Linked DNA regions of Mus musculus: all the other regions are reported to be linked to region 1. Evidence: microRNA targets listed by miRTarBase, many of them from high-throughput screens and not tested one by one. Region 1 holds a microRNA gene; each other region holds the end of a gene's coding sequence. Distances are from middle to middle.

Region 1 (4,232 bases):
TCAATTTTATGTAAATGCTTTCCTAATCTAAGCACCATTTCCTTAGATTAACCCATCCTCTTTGCCAAATAAAAGCCATCATTTAAGGGACTCTTAGAATTTTTTTTTTTTTTTAAGATTTTCATTTTATTTATGTGAGTACACTGTAGCTGTCTTCAGACACACCAGAAGAGGGCATCAGGTCCCATTACAGACGGTTGTGAGCCACCATGTGGTTGCTGGGAATTGAACTCAGGACCTCTGGAAAGCAGTCAGTGCTCTTAACTGCTGAGCCATTTCTCCAGCTCTAGAATGAATTTATATGTAACAATGAGATCCTTTACAGTGGAGAATTGCAGCAGTTTTAGAATTGTTTGTGTATTTGCATATACCTATTACTGCCTGTTTCTGCTTGTTTGTACTTCTCAATTGACTGACAATTAGACCAGGCAGTTTCCCCTTCCAGGAGGTAGCCTTGCTACTCACCTCTCAGAACGACTTTAGAGTTCCGCGCCACCGGTAGCCTCTGACTGCTGCCTCGGGTCAGCACGAGCTGAGATTCGGTAGTGGGGTACATGGACGCCCCGAGCCAAAACTGCTTAGCCAAATTGGCATCCTGCTCAGAGCAGCCGGTGAACACCAGTAATCCAGGGGAGCAGATTTCCTGGGATTCCTTCCTGCCGCTAGGACAGCCTCTGGGCCCCGTTTCCATGGTGACTCAGGACGCTTTCCTTAGCTCTGGCGTCCCGCCCCTACCGGAGAACCGTCCTGTTGGTAACTGCCACCACCGGAATGCCTGTGTTTCTTCTTCCGTAGATCTGGGGTTCCTCGAGGGCTTGTGGCCCATCAGCAGCTGGCTTCTGTCGAGGTCACAATTTTCGGGGCCAGTCAAGCCTTAAGAGTAAAAGCCTCAACTTTGTGATGTGTACAGTCCTGGACTGTCTCTTAGATCCTCAGCCAGCGTCTCCTCCTCCCCCAGATAGCCCAATAATGTGAGCTTTAAAGAGCGCCTTCCTCTTTTGGACAAGATTGCCAAGGCTTCGCACTCTTACCTCTGGGGAAATTCTCAGGTTTGCATTGATACATCTGCATAAAGCGCTAATCTAGAACTGGGCCGAGAAGTACCGGTGGATACAGCTTGTGTGATTTAAAACCTCTCAAATCTTTTATTACAGATATTAGGAAACCAGCTGGTTTTAAATCGTGTTCACTAATTATTCCCACGAAAAGTTGCCTAGAACGCAACTGTTAATACCTTAAAAAATATACCTGGTTAAGTGGGCTGAGTTCCCTTGCCCCATGGAAAATTATGAAAACATTTAACGTTCCCTTCCAGGTCACAATCATGTGTGAGACGTTTCCCTGGAGATTTTGTCTGTATAGCAACTAACCATTTAATGACTTTACGGGGTTGACAGGAGCTGAAATGGAGATCCTAAAGCCAGTTTTTGGAAAGGAAATGAACACGATTGCTGAGATTTTCGTGGCGCTTTATTTTTTAGAGTGTTATTAATATGTCAGGCAAAGTCCAAAGATTTATAATCACAAGTCAATATAATGACCAAATCAGCTAAGGGATAATTTCTATTTTTCCAATATATCTAAAAATCACAAAAAATGTACCCCACACAAATTGATACATTGTATACTTAGCAGCTAAGGGCTAGCGGTTCCCCCCCCCCCCCCAAACCACTAATAGTATGGTAAGAATATTTCCCTATGGCTCTGTCCTCACCAAAATGACGATTCACAGGAGGCTCAGTCGGAGGAATTTCAGTCTTTTTACCTGGCTGTGTGGTTAGTGATTGGTACTATTAGCAATCAGCTAACTACACTGCCTAGTAACTAGACTCAGAAAAAAGCATGCAGTCTTTAGCTGGTGCTCTCAGACTTTGGTGTGACCAGAGCAAATCGTCAGCCAAGCTGTGGTTGACTCTAGTCGCTGCCTTGGTGATAGCTTTCTCAGAAGTGGAAATCAGGCAGTGAATCACAGCAGCAGCAGGAACTGTTCTGGGGGGGGGGGGGGGGGGGCTCTTCCTGGCCTTTTTTTTTTTTTTTTTTTTTATGTTAAGGCCGGTGTATACCGATTCTCTTTACACATCACTGAACCGTTTTTGCTCTGGCTCTTACACACAGGTAGCCGAACGGTCCCTAAAGGAGGCCGCCGGTCTCCGAGGGTTACTTGCACTTAGACCTCGTGCTCCCGGCCCTTTGCTGACGCATCCTGGCTCCGGCCTCGGCTTTCTGCGGAGTCAGTGGGGCTGCAGCGCTGGCTTCTCCTCCCGCGGGCGGCGGGTGATGCTGTGCCTTGTTTTGATGGCAGTGGAGTTAGTGATTGTCAGCACCGCACTACAATCAGCTAATTACACTGCCTACAAACCGAGCACCGGGCGCCCGCCACTGCAGCTCCCGAGGGTCGGGCCCCTCGCCCCCTTTCGCCACGGTCGACAGGCGAGGGCGGCGGAGCGAGAGGTGCCTCAGGCTCCCGAGGCCCCTCCACACCCAGCAGGGCCGCGCGCGACCCCAGGTGAACCCCCAGGCGCTGAGGCCCCCTGTCCCCGCCGTCCCCCCCGAGACCCCCGACTCAGCCCGGACCCCAGGGCATCCGGCCCGAGTCCTTCTTCCCGCAAGCCGGGTCTGACCCGCCTCCAACAACTTCTTCACGGCTTCCAGACCCAAGTCTAGAGCCGGTTCTGTCCAGCCCGCGCGCCCCGCAGCTCCTACTGGCCGAGTGACCGTGGCTCAGCGACCAACCGCCCTTGGAACCCCGAGGCCGAGGGGGCGGGGCGAGTGGGGGAGGGGTGGCAGAAGCTACCAGAAGGGGCAATGGGAGGGCTCCTGCAGAGCCTCCTGGGAAGGGGCCGGGGAGATGGAGAGACAGATTCTTGAGAAGTTTATCTTCACAGTGTAGTTACTGCTACATCGAAGAAAGAAGCGCAGAGACCTACATCCATCTCTCCTTCCCAATATATTGCCCAAGAAGCCCCAGGCCTCCTCACTGTTCATATGCCCATTCTCAGAAACCGCTTCCCAGGCGTCTCATCTGGAGCCTTCCTGCCTGAGCAGGCCTGGGCACTCATACCTGCAGGATTGCCCTTGCCTGTACCCAAGTTCTTTCTTAGGACTACCTCTTACAGGGCCATACAGTGAAGTGTGGGCCACTCTTCTGGTCAAACATTGAACCAACACCCTTGTTGGTAGGTCAAAGTTGTGGCCCTTATAAGATCAAAGACACAGTTTTGATGATCTCCCCGTGAGCCTTGAGGATATCTAGTCTCACTTTGGGCTCCTGTTTTATTTAAATGTTACAAATCCAGCACCTAACAGGCGTTTGTCTTACTACCCATCAGACAGTCTAGGTGGTAACAAAATGTGAACACATTATTTATTACTCCAGACAGTATAAAGTTGCTAAACTGATAGATTTTCCTAATAGAAAAAAACAGGTATGGGTGGGGGTGGGAGGTGTGCCAACAAGAGCTGACAGACACCATCATGGAGGAGGTGAGAGTTCAGGTAGATCCTTGAAGCAAGGGTAGATTTGGACATTAAGGATGAGGTCTGTAGAAGCCCGAGAAGCCATATCTTCTGTCAGTTACATTCCCCTTGTTTTTGCTATTTTATATCTGATAACGGGGTGCGTGTTTGTGTATATTGGGAATAGGAGGCGCTGAGGGGACAGCATTTCTGCGCCATCTTCACTAATATTTCTTTCCTTTAGTCTTTCCTCTCCTTTCCTTTAATTAATTGAGCCCAGAGAGGATATACAGTATTCTCTGATTGCAAACTTTGTGGAATTCAGTAGGAAGTAGCCGTCCCAGACTGTGGTCTTCCTGTATGCTGTATGACACCCATTTGTATTGATCCAACAGTCTTGCAGTCTACAAAGGGACATTTCTTAGCTATACACTGATACCTGTAAGCCCAGCAAATGGTCTTGTAGATGCCACTAATTACATGAATATATGCCAATCATCAGGAACATTCAACACAAATTCCAAGTGGAAACCATTAAAACCCAAGAACTTCCCAAGAATAAACTTGTGTATATTTTAACATTATCTTTGAAAGTAAAAGACAATGTTTTTTTCCTTCAGAGTCATTGTTTTATGAAGGCTTAAGTGAAAGGAAAATGAAGTAGAAAATGCCAGATTATTATAAAATTAACTTATGAAAGACATTTGTAAATAACTATCTTGTATTCAGTCTTCTTGTATTTGAGAAAAGTATAATGTATCCTACAAAAGGTCATT
Region 2 (4,232 bases), not on the chromosome of region 1:
TGGCGAGGTTTTGTGTCTTCACTGATGCTCATTAATCAGTGGATGTGGTTTTCAAAATTTTATTGATGGTGCAATTAAAATGTGTGAATTTTACTATATGTAAATTTTTATCTCAGTGAAATCATTCTGAAAAGCTACCAAGCATCTCAGAAATTTGATGTTTTGGTTTTTGAAAGCATAAGGTATCACATCTTATGCCATCTAGAAAGCATATACAGGTTCAACACTTGGTGCACACGTTAGGTACTGAGGGCTACCGATGTATGTATGCACACATTAGGTACTGAGGGCTACCAATGTATGTATGCACACATTAGGTACTGAGGGCTACCGATGTATGTATGCACACATTAGGTACTGAGGGCTACCGATGTATGTATGCACACATTAGGTACTGAGGGCTACCGATGTATGTATGCACACATTAGGTACTGAGGACTTACTGGCAAGCAACAAGCCAGGATTTCCTGTGTTACTTTAAAAGATGCTTCACATAAAAACCAGCCTGGTCTACAAAGTGAGCTCCAGGACAGCCAGGGCTATACAGAGAAACCCTGTCTGGAAAAAACAAAGCAAACAAACAAACAAACAAACAAACAAAACCCCAAAACCTGGCTTGGGCCTCTGAGAGCTGCAGAGGATGACCTTGCCTCTGCCTTTAGGGAGTGGTTTTCAGAAAAATTCTTACATGCTTGCTGTACCCCTAGATTCCACTGGATGGAGACAGAACACACACATCCTCAGGAAACACAAGCCCTCCCACTTCTAACTCTGGACCCCTCTGAAATTGACAGGAGGCAGGTCACAGCTCAAGGAGGGATGGCTTTCCCTTTGACTTGTCCTGGGTGCCTGGAGTACCCCAGGTCAGCAGGCAACTCCAAAAACAACAACAACACATCTTTGACCTGTACCAGAAATACACAAATTTTAAAGTGAGTAAATAAATAATGTTCCTAAAATACTTTTAAAGTGGCTGGGGATAAGCCTATAATCAAAGCTATTCAAAGGACCAAGGCAAAAAGAGTCACAAGTTTTAAGTTGGCCTGGGCCATAGAGTAACTTCAAGGCCACCGTGGACAATGTAGACCTAGCCTACAACTAAACAAAAAGGGGAGGGTTTGGGGTCACAGGTCAGTGGTAAAGTACCTGTGTGACCTCAAGATTTTAGGTAATGATCCTAAGAAGCCCGTGTGTACTTTCTGTACCACCAAGAGCTCAAGAGGTCTGTCCTTTGCCAACTGCTTGACATATTGTCTAGATTAATCACAAGCCAGCCTGTAGCCTCATCTTCTCACCTGTAAGCTGTTGTGCTGCATGAGACATTATCAGTTATTAGTAGGCGAGATCTGCGTCTCAAATGAAGTCCCTCGGCAGCCCCACTGTATAAAGGACTGCAGAGGCTCGTGGACACAGGCACAGAATGCCTGCTCAGGGTCCACACCATCACAGCCAGCTGTTCTGAGGATGCTGGCTGCTCCCAAAATGGCTTTAACTACTACTCCAACCAAACTCTCAACCCAAGGAGCTGAGCTCTGACTTCATGGAAACTCCAAGACTCTGAAGACTCAGCATAACCTCTATGATGTCAGAATGACCACGCCTACCTCTAACCTGACATCACCTGATTCAGGAATTCTATATGGCATGAATGCAATACTCACCGCAGCCAGAGCCCACATCCCTTCTCCATGAGCTATGCTATGTCCCTACCCACCTAAGGAAACTCTTAGTCATGTGCTTGCCCCAGTCCTGTCTTCCCTGAGAATTCAGCAATGAAGAATTCCACATTTCAGTGACCCAGCATGAGAAAAGGGAAACCCACCTCTAACCTTTGGTGATCTCAGCCCCCTTTCCTAAGGATCTCTGACACACGGGAAATGTCACCCTCTTGTAAGTCACTACCCAGAGATTGCTGTGATGATACATCTGGCCCAAGACCATGCACCTCACATGGGTCACACCCAATTCCAGACCTAGATGTCATGTACACATTATGTAGCTGAGAGAAACTGAAGCTCAATCACTAAGCATAGCTGGGACTTCACCTAGAGGTAGTGCTCACGGTGGGGACTGTCTGGACCATCCTACAGGACAGATGGTAGCAAGGATGTTCTCAGTGGCTTCTGAGCTAGTACTTGGGGTTAGGACACAGAATGTTCTACACGGATTTCCTTACAATAAGGCTGAGGACGTGGCTTGTGTGCACAAAGGCCCTAGCATCATAAAACAACAAAACAAACAAAAAACAGTTCAAAGCATAGAACCTAACACATAGTAACTCCAAGACTGGCCCCAGCTGGAGTCAATGTTCCATGCCTGTAATCCCAACAGCATTGAGGAAGGTCAAGAGTGTTTGAAGCTAGCCAAAGGCTATACAGCAAGACCCTGGACCACACAGCAAGACCCTGTCACAAAAACAAATGAGCCCCAAAGATGTAAATTTCATTCCAAAACCAGAGACAGCCATTTTATAGAAAATAGGATTTATTTATCACATTTGAGATGAACACACAGGACTGTCCCAGAAATCTTTTACATATATATTATTGATAGATTGGATTTATTCAACATACAGAAAAAGCAAAGCCTGCCAGAAGACACTTCCCTCTTGAGAACAGCATGAGGTCAGGCAGTGTCTGTAAGTTTTCACCACGGGAATTCACATTGAGCAGAAAGACCGGGCTCACAGGTCTGTTCCCAGGTCCTGCTGCTTCTATTTCACAGGCTTTCAAAAATCACAGCAGCAGCCAGCAGGATTCACAGTGACCAGGAGGGAAGGCATTGACGCTGGGACTTTCACAAGAGCCCTGAGTGATGTCTCAGAAGCCAGGCTGGGAGGTGGGGGGGTTGGGGGTGTCTGTGGCTTGTGCCAACTCAGGTCACACATGGACAGTGCCGTGAGTGTCACAGCAACACAGGTCACACACGGACAGTGCCATGAGTGTCACAGCTTTGTTTCGATGAGATCTTGAATTCTATGTTAAATTATTGCAAGGAGGAAGACAACATTAAATAGCAACTGCTATCCCCACTGATCAAGGAAAAGAGTCAGGAGCCTTCCCTGACTAACTGGTCAGCATTGCCAATGTCCAAGGCACACGCACATGGCAATCACGGGGACATCGGCTGAGGGTACATGGCCCGATGGCCATACTGATGCCCAGAAACGGGATCTGAGGCAGGATGGACAGTGGAGAGCAGCCTGGTCTGGGAGGACCATGCCTGAGTGGCCTTCCTCAGACTCAATAGAAGTGGGTGCAAACTGTTCTTTGGAGAACCTGGGTGAATCAAGACATGGATGCCTGCTGCTGTCCTAGCACCTTGGCTGTGAGTTAGCTCAACTGGCCACAGTCTGTGATGACAATCTTCTTAGACGTCTTCCCACTTTTTGAGCCGAAAGATTCTATTTTCTTCACAACATCCATGCCCTCTTTGACATGGCCGAACACGACATGCTTGCCATCTAGCCTGTGGGGAGGGTTGAGCCAAGTAAGAAAACACCCAGCATCCTGGCCACTCGGCAGAGTTGTTTGCCAAAGGAACACCACTACCCTGAAAGCCTAGTTACCGCTTGTGAGCTCTTCAGCTGCATTCCACTGGATTCCAGGCTCCCAGTTCTGTCACCCTGGGCTTTGTCCGGCAGCCTGATCTGACTTTTGGTGACCTTACTTATGAGAAGTAGGTTGTTCTCATTCTGCCCAGGAAAATGATGGGCATTGCAGCACTCAAAAAAGCAAGACATCTGCACAACAGACTATGGCAAACTGAGCACCAAATAAGTGTGAGAAGCCTGGAGGTGTTGAGTAGCTCATGATCTGTGAGTTCCAAGAACAGAACAGGGACTTAGCTCAGCTCCAGCACAGCTGAGAATAAGGACAGCCTGGGGCAGAGCTTTAAGGCCCATCAAGGCTTCCATGGAAGGAGCAAAGAAGATGGGGCTGGCACCAACATGCCCGACCCTGACAGCCCTGTGTGGCTGTCATCCCATCGCTTAGATTTCCTTAAAGTTGTGAACACAGGTTTTCTAAACTTCTCAGTCAGCTGTTGCCTCTGACCTCCTGGGACCTGAGGCCTGGGATACTCAGAACTCTATGCAGAGAAAGGTGTTGCTTGGTGGAAGTTTTACCAGGGAAAAGGCATTCTTAGACAGCATAGGACTGTGGGAAAGGAAGCTGGGAGGTCTGGGAGCCATGTGCGGCCATGCTAACAGTGTGTGAGGAAACTATTCCTCA
Region 3 (4,232 bases), 58 Mb from region 1:
TTCTTCTTCTTCTTCTTCTCTCTCTCTCTCTCTCTCTCTCTCTCTCTCTCTCTGAAACTGCCAGGACAAGTTCTGGGCTCTCTTCAGGATGAGAGACAGCTGTAAGGAAAATGGGTCTCTGGGGATGGGGCAAGGGGACCCAGAGGATCGAGCAAAGACCCCAGCGTTGAGAGAGGCCATAAAGGAGGGAGGGGCAGGGCCTTGGGAGCCTGGAGGTCCTGAGGGCTGCTGAAAGGTAATTAGGAGACAGTCCCCTACAGTCTGTCAAGCCTTGGGGTTTGAGTGCCAGGCAACTGAGGAAGGATTCAGGCCTTAGAATCACAAGAGTTTGAGTTTGAGTTCTGTCTCTCCTCTGCCATGACCTTGGCACAGTACAAGCTGTACACTCATCTCCTCTGTTGAGGGAGTTTAGAGAAATGAACTCCTTGAGATGTGGAGATTTGTCACATTATCTGCCTTACTGGATGCTGAATTTAGTATCTGAACATAGACAGTGTCCTGCTGAGCACTGAGAGACTGAGGCAGCCAAGTAGCCTTGCTAATGAGTCTAGGGTCCTGATGGGTGTGTGGAGGGAGGGCTCAGAGTCCTGGGGTAGGCATGAAGGTGCTGAGGGCTGAGAGGCAAGGTCCCTCCTCTGAACCATGGCTTTCCACTTCTACATTCAACTCCACAGAGTTCCCAGAAGCGAGGGTCACTCCTGAGGGGCTGACCAGCGAATGAGGAGCCACCAGGGGTTGCAGAGGATTTGGGCTGACTGAAGAGCCTTCAGGACTGATCGCAAGGCAGCCTTCTTCAAGCCCTCCCCTCAGTTCAGTGCAGAAGGAAGGTCCCTCCTGTGTGCGTCTGTGAGCATGTGTGTGACAGGTGCAGGGGTGGGGGCTGAGGGAGGACTTTTATACATTTTTGTACCTTTGTAACCAGAGAGATATGCTTATGTTATTTTTCAGCTTTTCTGTCTCCCAGGGGTCTCGAGACTGGGCTAGGAGGGGGAAGGGGATGGGAGAGAGACACTCCACTGGGCGCTTAGCTAAGCGTCTGCTCTTTCATTTCATCTTACAGCAGAGTGAATGAGTCAGGCCCCACCTGCTCTTTCCCCTTCTCTTCCCCACATTGATCTGAACGTTGTTGTTGGGGCCCAGGGTGCAAATTTGATCTTTGCATTTTCTCCGATGCCCCTAGGCCAAACTCCTGTTGGGGGGGGGGATTGGTCTTGGAAACAGGGGTTCCTCCATCCTCCTCCTGAGGGCTCACGTGCTCCACTCCTCCCTGTGGGTGTGGATATGTATTACATGGAGTCCCTGCCGCTTACTGCCTTAAGACCTAGGACTGATGCTGCAGGTGCTGGTGGAGCAGCAGAAGTCATGTTTACAGATCAAGGCTTCCCTTTCTCCCTTAGGGAGGGACTTGGGCCTCTAATCAGACATTCCTAGGGGGGTGGGTGGAGGGGAAACTCCTTTGTCCCTCCTTCACTTGTCTGTGGTGCCATTGGTTCATTACACTGTCCCCTTGAGGGATGAGGGGGGCAGTGAGCAAAGGGAGCAGAAACAAGGGAACCCAAGACCCAGAATGTAGGTAGGTGCCACCGCCTCTCACTGCTTACAGGATCCTCCCTGGCACCAGGCTGCAGCAGTGGCTGCCCCACCTTCTGTTGGTCCCTTATAAAGGGACAGGTAACTGTTAGGATCCTGCTCACAAAACTCTCTTGTTAGTTGTCTGATGTCCAGTGCTGGGGACTTTACATTTTTGTTACTTTGTTTACAGATCAAGATTATTTTTTTAACATGGTTGGGTTTTATTTATTGTTTACAGCTTCAACCATTGAACTTACACACTTTGTTTTATAGTTCAGAATGTTTCCCCCTCTTTGTTTACAAGTGAAAGGTAGAAAAAGTGGGGGAGGGGCCTAAAAGACCCACCTGCGATGCCCCTGGACCTGGCCATCTTGAGGTAGGCTTCTAATCCCAACTTTTCCCAGGTCAAAGGTCAGCTGAGTCTTCTAACAGCTTGCCCCGAAAGTGGCTCAGGACCGGGGTTCTGTGCAGCCGCCACCCACCCCTACCCTGTGTTTACTCTTGGGAGGCAGTTTCTGAGATTCAAAAAAATCCCACTTCACTGCCTGTGCCAAATCCCACCAGCCAGGTCCCCAGCTCTCTTTACCCAGACTGACCCCTGCCCTTGAAGGGCTGAGAGGCCTGTCGGTTGGGAGAGTGTCCTTGCTATGTCCTAGGTTCTGTAGATGCCCGTCTCTGGGGTCCCCTTCCAACAGTGGCCCTCTTTCCTGTCTGTGTAAATTGTTCCGTGAAGCCGCGCTCTGTTTTGGGAATAAACTTCTATAGAAAACACTTGTTCCTCTTTCTGTCTCAGCTGTTGAGAATACTCACCCAGGATGACCTTTGTAGGACTCTGAGCTCTCCTCCCTCCAAAATAGCCAGTTATTTTTAGCCCATTTCATGGGAGATTTGGACCAGGTTCCCATTTCTTTCTGAAATATGGCCTCTCACCTTGTGACTGGAGCCTGAAGTTGGAGCGCAGGAGCTGCGCCAAGAGAAGCCACTTTCCTGGTCTAGGCAGTCATATGAGGGTTTCCTTAATATCCAGAGGCTGACATTTGTGGCCCTGCCCATTAGTCACCCCAAACCTAGGCGTTCCCACTTCAGTTCCTGCTTACCCACCCACACTCTGGCCCTTACTGGTCTTTTCTCACTTGGATCAGGCCAGAGCTTCCAGACCTGGAAAGGATCCTGAGTGCTCCATTTCCAGTCTAGGCAGCCAGGTGTGAAAGTGAAAGGGGGGGGGGGGGCTTAAGAAGCCACCCATGGTGACAAATACCTTTGATCTCTTCTTTAATCCCAGCACTCACTAGGCAGAGGCAGGTGGATCTCTGTAGACAAGTCTGGTCTACAGAGAGTTCCAGGACAGCCAAGGCTAAACAGAGAAAACTTGTCTGGAAAAAAAGAAATGGAGGTGGGGTGGGGCTGGTCTTGAGGACCACTGTGCCAGGTCTCAGAAGGAAAAATCTGAGGGTGATACTCACAGCTTGGTGGTCCCTGAGAGACCCTACAGGCCTAGATCTCCCACAGTTGAGGCTGGGGCCCCTGGTTGCACACCTAGGCATCCAGATCGGTCAAGAATGTCTCCTCTGCATAAAGTGGGGACCTTCTACAAAGCATACAATTAGGTCCAGCCACTTAAGGGCACAGAGGCATAACATTGGCCAAGCGTAGCGCTGGGCCTTCGTTCCAGTCCTCCAGTCTCAGCAGAATGCTCCAGCTCCCAGCAGGTTAACAAGAATCGCAGGCAGGGACAGAAGCTAGGCCGACGGGAAGGAAAGGGTTAAAATTTTATTCTCCGGGCTCGCCCCGCCCAGAGAGTATGACTTGGATTCCACCCCCAGAATTCTGATTGGTCTGATCTTGCACATCCTAGCGGTGGAGCTTGCGGCCGGCCAAGTTCTGGGCCTGGCGCCACCTTCTAGCCGGTAGTGGCCTCCTGGGGGAGCTGTTTGAAAAGCGGTACACGAGTTACCCTCTGAGGGCCATGGGACTTCCCGATGGGTCCGGTGAGTTGCAGGGCGCTGCCCAAATTCCGCGTGCCCGCGAAGCGCTAGTAGTTCTGTGACTCCCGGCCTGGGTCAATTCAGGAAGGGAACCTCCAAGTCCCCGACAGGCATTTCCCGTCTGCGGAGCCTTAGTTTACCGCCTTGCCGATTTTCCGAAGGAGGTTATCCATCAACAGCGAGGGATGGGGGCGGGCTCTGGCGCGACCCCAGCTCTTGAGGGTTGTACTGAACGTCCCTGGAGTGCTAATAAGGGCGCTGCAGGGAAGTTGCTGCTTACCGAGGAGTCCTGGCACGGGAGGTGTGCCAGCTGGGCGCGTTGGGACTGGGAGAGAAACCGCTGCAAGACAGGCTCTAGCCAGGCGGTGGACCAGCCGCGGCCTGAGTCGGCAGGGTACTGTTCACATTTGTCGCTGCCGGCCCTTGTGCCCTCCCAAAGGGAGGTGCCAAGCATCAAGGCTCCGCCCTCCAAGGCGCGTGCCGCCTGGTAAGGGGAGGGAGCCCTTTAAGAAGACTTGAGAGATCTTGAAGGAGGGGAGAGGGGCCGCTGAGATCTCCTGGAGCCCGCGGTGCAGAGAATCTCTGAAGATCTTCCTTGCGTCTGCACTGCTCCCTCCTCCATTGGATACCCAGGTTAGAGAGTCTTCCCAGGTGAGTTCCTACCCCTCTGGTGGG
Region 4 (4,232 bases), not on the chromosome of region 1:
CAGTTCTGTGAAGTGACAGTCATCCTCTCCAGGCTGGTCACTGCTGGTCCAGGCAGGAGGATGGGGAATCATATAGGCTCATACACACATGCACACAAACACACATATACACATACACACAAACACACATACACACAAACACACATACACACACACATACACACAAACACACATATATACACACAAACACACATACACCCAAACACACATACACACAACCACACATATACACATACACACACGCATACACACATATACACACAAACACACATACACACATGCACATGCCTGGGGAAGAGGTGGAGCCTACCAGTCGGCTGACCCCAAGAAAGTCATGGAGAAGGCCAGGCCCTTGGTTGTCCACAGCTACTCAGATGGGTAAAAGAGCCTCAATACCGTCACCTGTTACCGACACCCCCTTAGGACTGAGCTAGCTCTGCTCTTTCTGGGGAGCTGTCCAGTTATAACCATCATCTGTCTCTCCTTCCTTTCACATGGTCCCCTGCTGGGCCCTTTGGATCTGAGGGGGTGTGGGAAGGGATACAGGTCACTCTTGCTCTGTAGAAGGTGGGGGTGGGGACGGATAGAGCCTGGAGTCCCAGGTCAGAATCCAGAAGTTCCTGTGTCCCTGAGCTTCCTCTGACAGGAAGATGGGAGCCACTGGGCCTGCTCTGCCCTGAGTCAGCCTCCCCTAATTGCTTGTGGCGTCTCTCCCAACCTCAGGCAAGGATGTCGTGACACGGTGGTTCCTGATATGCTGGGTTGTGTCTCATATGGCTCCATGGGTCTCATGGATACATGAGAGAGAAAAAAAAAAGGTTGGTGACCTGCAGGCAGAAGCATAGTGCCCAGTGTCCCTGGGAGGTAGAGAGGTGGGAGAGCCAGGCCCTGCAGAGCTTCTAGAAGGACCCAGTGAGACTAGCTAGGTACTAGCCTGAGATCCTTTGCAGAGCCCTGGGCCCCCACATTTCAGGACTAACATAACAGTCATGTCCCATCCTATCTCCTGTCACCGCAGCTTATTCCAAGGTCTCAAGCCCTTTGCCAGGCCAGCCGGTATCACCTGACTGTATCCAGATCAGAAACGTGTCTTTAGAGACTCTCTTGCTTGCCTTAATGGGAAGGTAAGTGTGTTGTCTACCGATCCTCAGCCTAGAAAGAACTACTCGGGCCAAAGAAGACTCAGAGATATCAGGGGTCCCATCTCCTTCTCTGAGCCAGCCTCAGAACCAGAGGTTAGGAAAGAAGAAATTGGGGTGGAGGCTTTCTTCCTGTGAGAGGAGGGGGGATGTCAGGCCAGGACACGCAGCAGAGGGGCTCGGGAAAGTCTGGTTCTTTCCGCAGGGGGAGGAACATAAGGACTCCAAAGTAAGGTGGGCATGGTGGTCCATGCCTTTAATCCCAGCAATTAAAAGGCAGAGGTAGGTAGGTAGGTAGAGACCAGCCTGGTCTATACAGTGAGTTCCAGACAGGCAGGGATACAGAGAAACCCTGCCCCCCCCTTCCAAAAAAAAAAAAAAAAGCAATCAAGCACACAAACAAAAGAACTCCAAAGTAAAAGCAGAGGCCACCAGAGTTGTGGAGGAAGATGGAGAGAGACATGGGGCTTCCACGGGCCAAAGTCCAGACAGGTCTCAAATCTGTCACATCTGTGCCATGCTGTGGGAACTGCTGGTATACCTAGAACTGCCAAGGCAGTGTTCCACTCACCCTGTCAAGCCCCAGAGTACCCCCACCTTCCCCTGGCACAGCAGGGGCTGAGGGTGGGAGCTGGGGTGGGGCTGTGGACCTGGGCGAATCTCAGACTTCGAATAAAGGGGACTTAGCTTCCTCTCCTCACTCCTTGAGAGGCTCACTATACAGCCCAGGCTGGTCTTGAACTCTCAATCTCCTGCCTCAGCATCTCAAGTGCTGGGACTGCAGGTACCACCACACCCTGCTTTTTATACCTCTTTGTACTTGAACTCAGATGGGGACAATCACATATAACCCAAGGGAGACAGACACCTGGGACATGTCTAACCTGTGCCACATAAGTGGGAGAAGGGACTTGAGGAGCAGGCTAGACGCTGGGAGAAAACCTGAGTCATTTCTCACAGCCCAGCTGCTCCAGACTGATGGCCAAACTGTTCCTTGGATCACCTGACTAGTTAAAATCTGAACTCAGCTCTCAAGAGTGACCTCTTTGGCTACGGAAGGTTTTGTATATGCCAACATTGTAAGATCAATGGCTTTGATGAACCAGTCTGGTTTCCCCATGAAAGGCAACTGATGTGGCTACCCAGGTCTCCCTCCACGCCAGCAATGGCCATCTGCAGCAGATGGTCAGGATCTCCGGGTTATTCTTGACGGGCCTCTGCCCGGCACCACCCGAGGAGGTACCAGTGGGCCATTTCTCTTGTTCTCCTGAGAAAGTGTCCTCAGATGCCTTCTTTGTCACATTTCCCTCTTGGCCATTTCCTGATCATCCCCAAGACTCCTGAATCAGCAACACTAGTAACAGAAGTGGGAGGAAAAAAAAACAAAAAAACAAAGACAAACCCAAACAAAACTGAGACGGGCAACTCTCCAAACTGTGCTGCTTTGCCATGGCATTAGATAACAGCTCATTTTTATTTCTCTTCTCGACAATCGCCTACAGTTTCCAGACTCTCTATAAAGAGCTTTAATATCAAAAGACAAATGAACTGGTATTTAAAAAGAACATTCTCCCCAACCTGAAGGCTGAGGTCAAGATGAAATGCTGCCTTTTGCAGGAAGTCCTCCTGGATTTCCAGCCCCCTGCCTGACACTCCAGGACTTGGTGAGAGCTTTTGCGGGGGTGGGGGTGAGGAGCTGCTCACTGTACGTTAGTAGGACAGAATTCACACTAGGCAGCCCAGTGTCTTCTGAGCGACCTGCAGGGATCTGAAGACCACTTCTTAGGAAAAAGATCAAGCTTGGCCAGTGTCACCAGAGGGGGCTGTCTTGGTCTTCAGAGTGCTGGGTTGAAAGGGTGGCTGTATCCCAGTACTTGCCAGAGGGAGGAGGCTTCAGGAGAGATGGAGGTCCCTCTGAGGTGCGAGCAAAGGTGAGGCAGCTTGGAGAGAGGGCTCAGACAGAAACCTGCCCTGAGTCAGAGGCCAAAGCCCACACAACAGACAGAAGTTGATAGCTGGCACCAGGAAACTGCTGGGAACTACCACCCCAAATCACAGCATTGGTCTAGGACCCCAGGCTTCAGGTGGAGGGTTAGGGGAACACAGAGGAGGGGTTGGGGATGGGGAATGAAGAGGAGGGTTTGCAGAAAGGCTGGGGGAGATGCTCAGCTCCTAAGGTGCTCTGCCTCCAAACCTTCTCCCAGAACATTTACCCCCAGTGCCACCCTCGGGATCTGCATGGTGACCACAGAGACAGAGCAGCAAGTCAAGACAGTTAGCTGTGTCTCAGGCCGGATGTGTCAGCCTCCTTCGAGATCTAACCCCAGCTTGGGTCTGCAGGTCTCAACACCCAGCAGCAACAGCTGGACCCAGAGGTGGCCAGAAAGACAAGGCCTTAGCTCCAGACTGAAACGGCCCCACAAACAGAATGGCAGTGTGCTTCTGAGCCCTTTGAGGACCAGAGTCGTCCCCAAGGCAAGCTAGGTATCTACCTACCAGAGCAACAGCCCTACGCCTTCAAGGACCAGGGCCTTCTCTAGTATGCCACTAACCAACAAAGGCTGGGTGGGCACAGCACTGGGCCACAGACATCGTGAGCGGACGCCATGCATGTGTCCTCCCGGAGGGGAGGTGTGGCGGTGGCTTAGATGCGGCTGGAGGAGGTGCTGCCGGAGCTGATGGGGAGTTTGGCGCTGTCTGAGTTGTTCTTCAGAGGGGAGGGGCCGCCTTGGGCCTGGAACCGCATGGACCAGTACCACAGGAAGATGAGGAAGCCTGTGGGCAGTGAGGCACATGGGTTATCAGATGGCAAGATCCCGTCTGGCTCTGTTCCCCTCTCAGAGTCCCTCTGCTCCAAGGGGTGGAGGGGGTGGGGGCGGCGGCGTCCAGTCATATACTCAGGGCTCTGGAGCCACTCGGAATGACTCAGTACACTGTGGCATATCAGGGGGTTGGTGTTGGCCTCGGTTCACATGCCTCACAGGGGACAAGATGAAATGCCTAACCACAAGATTTTAGAGCGTATCCCCTCATTCCATTCCACCCCACGGTGACTCCGTTGGCTCTGACGTGACTACACGGGCCCTGTTCAGT

Evidence for each region. Region 1 holds the annotated microRNA mmu-miR-34b-5p (AGGCAGUGUAAUUAGCUGAUUGU, at 2,331-2,353, opposite strand). A microRNA usually pairs through its seed, bases 2 to 8, with sites in the 3' UTR of a target mRNA and lowers its output. Matches are read on the target gene's strand: a 7mer-m8 pairs with bases 2 to 8, a 7mer-A1 pairs with bases 2 to 7 and ends in A, and an 8mer does both.
Region 2: miRTarBase lists Ppif as a target of mmu-miR-34b-5p. Seed matches in the 3' UTR shown: 7mer-m8 at 2,629-2,635.
Region 3: the mRNA of Celsr3 is a reported target of mmu-miR-34b-5p. Seed matches in the 3' UTR shown: 7mer-m8 at 2,112-2,118.
Region 4: miRTarBase lists Adgrg1 as a target of mmu-miR-34b-5p. Seed matches in the 3' UTR shown: 8mer at 3,569-3,576.

What each region holds. Positions count from the first base shown.
Region 1 is chr9:51,101,280-51,105,511 of GRCm38, forward strand. It overlaps Mir34b (microRNA 34b), which reads right to left and starts at 2,366; the gene lies at 2,283-2,366. Hoatz (HOATZ cilia and flagella associated protein) reads right to left here and starts at 799. Exons shown (of 6, transcript NM_177702.4): 1 at 466-799. The coding sequence starts at 691. Mir34c (microRNA 34c) reads right to left here and starts at 1,831; the gene lies at 1,755-1,831. It also overlaps a transcript of Btg4 not described here.
Region 2 is chr14:25,698,703-25,702,934 of GRCm38, reverse strand. Ppif (peptidylprolyl isomerase F (cyclophilin F)) reads right to left here. Exons shown (of 6, transcript NM_134084.1): 6 at 2,467-3,468. The coding sequence ends at 3,333. Ppifos (peptidylprolyl isomerase F, opposite strand) reads left to right here and starts at 1,653. Exons shown (of 3, transcript NR_028021.1): 1 at 1,653-1,890.
Region 3 is chr9:108,850,627-108,854,858 of GRCm38, forward strand. Celsr3 (cadherin, EGF LAG seven-pass G-type receptor 3) reads left to right here. Exons shown (of 36, transcript NM_001359572.1): 36 at 675-2,343. The coding sequence ends at 702. It overlaps Slc26a6 (solute carrier family 26, member 6), which reads left to right and starts at 3,417. Exons shown (of 20, transcript NM_134420.4): 1 at 3,417-4,208.
Region 4 is chr8:95,012,539-95,016,770 of GRCm38, reverse strand. It overlaps Adgrg1 (adhesion G protein-coupled receptor G1), which reads right to left. Exons shown (of 14, transcript NM_001198894.1): 14 at 2,563-3,914. The coding sequence ends at 3,784. Gm51544 (a long non-coding RNA gene) reads left to right here. Exons shown (of 4, transcript XR_003947440.1): 2 at 724-818; 3 at 1,019-1,124. Among named protein-coding and RNA genes, the nearest start is that of Adgrg3, 3.0 kb to the left of the region's middle.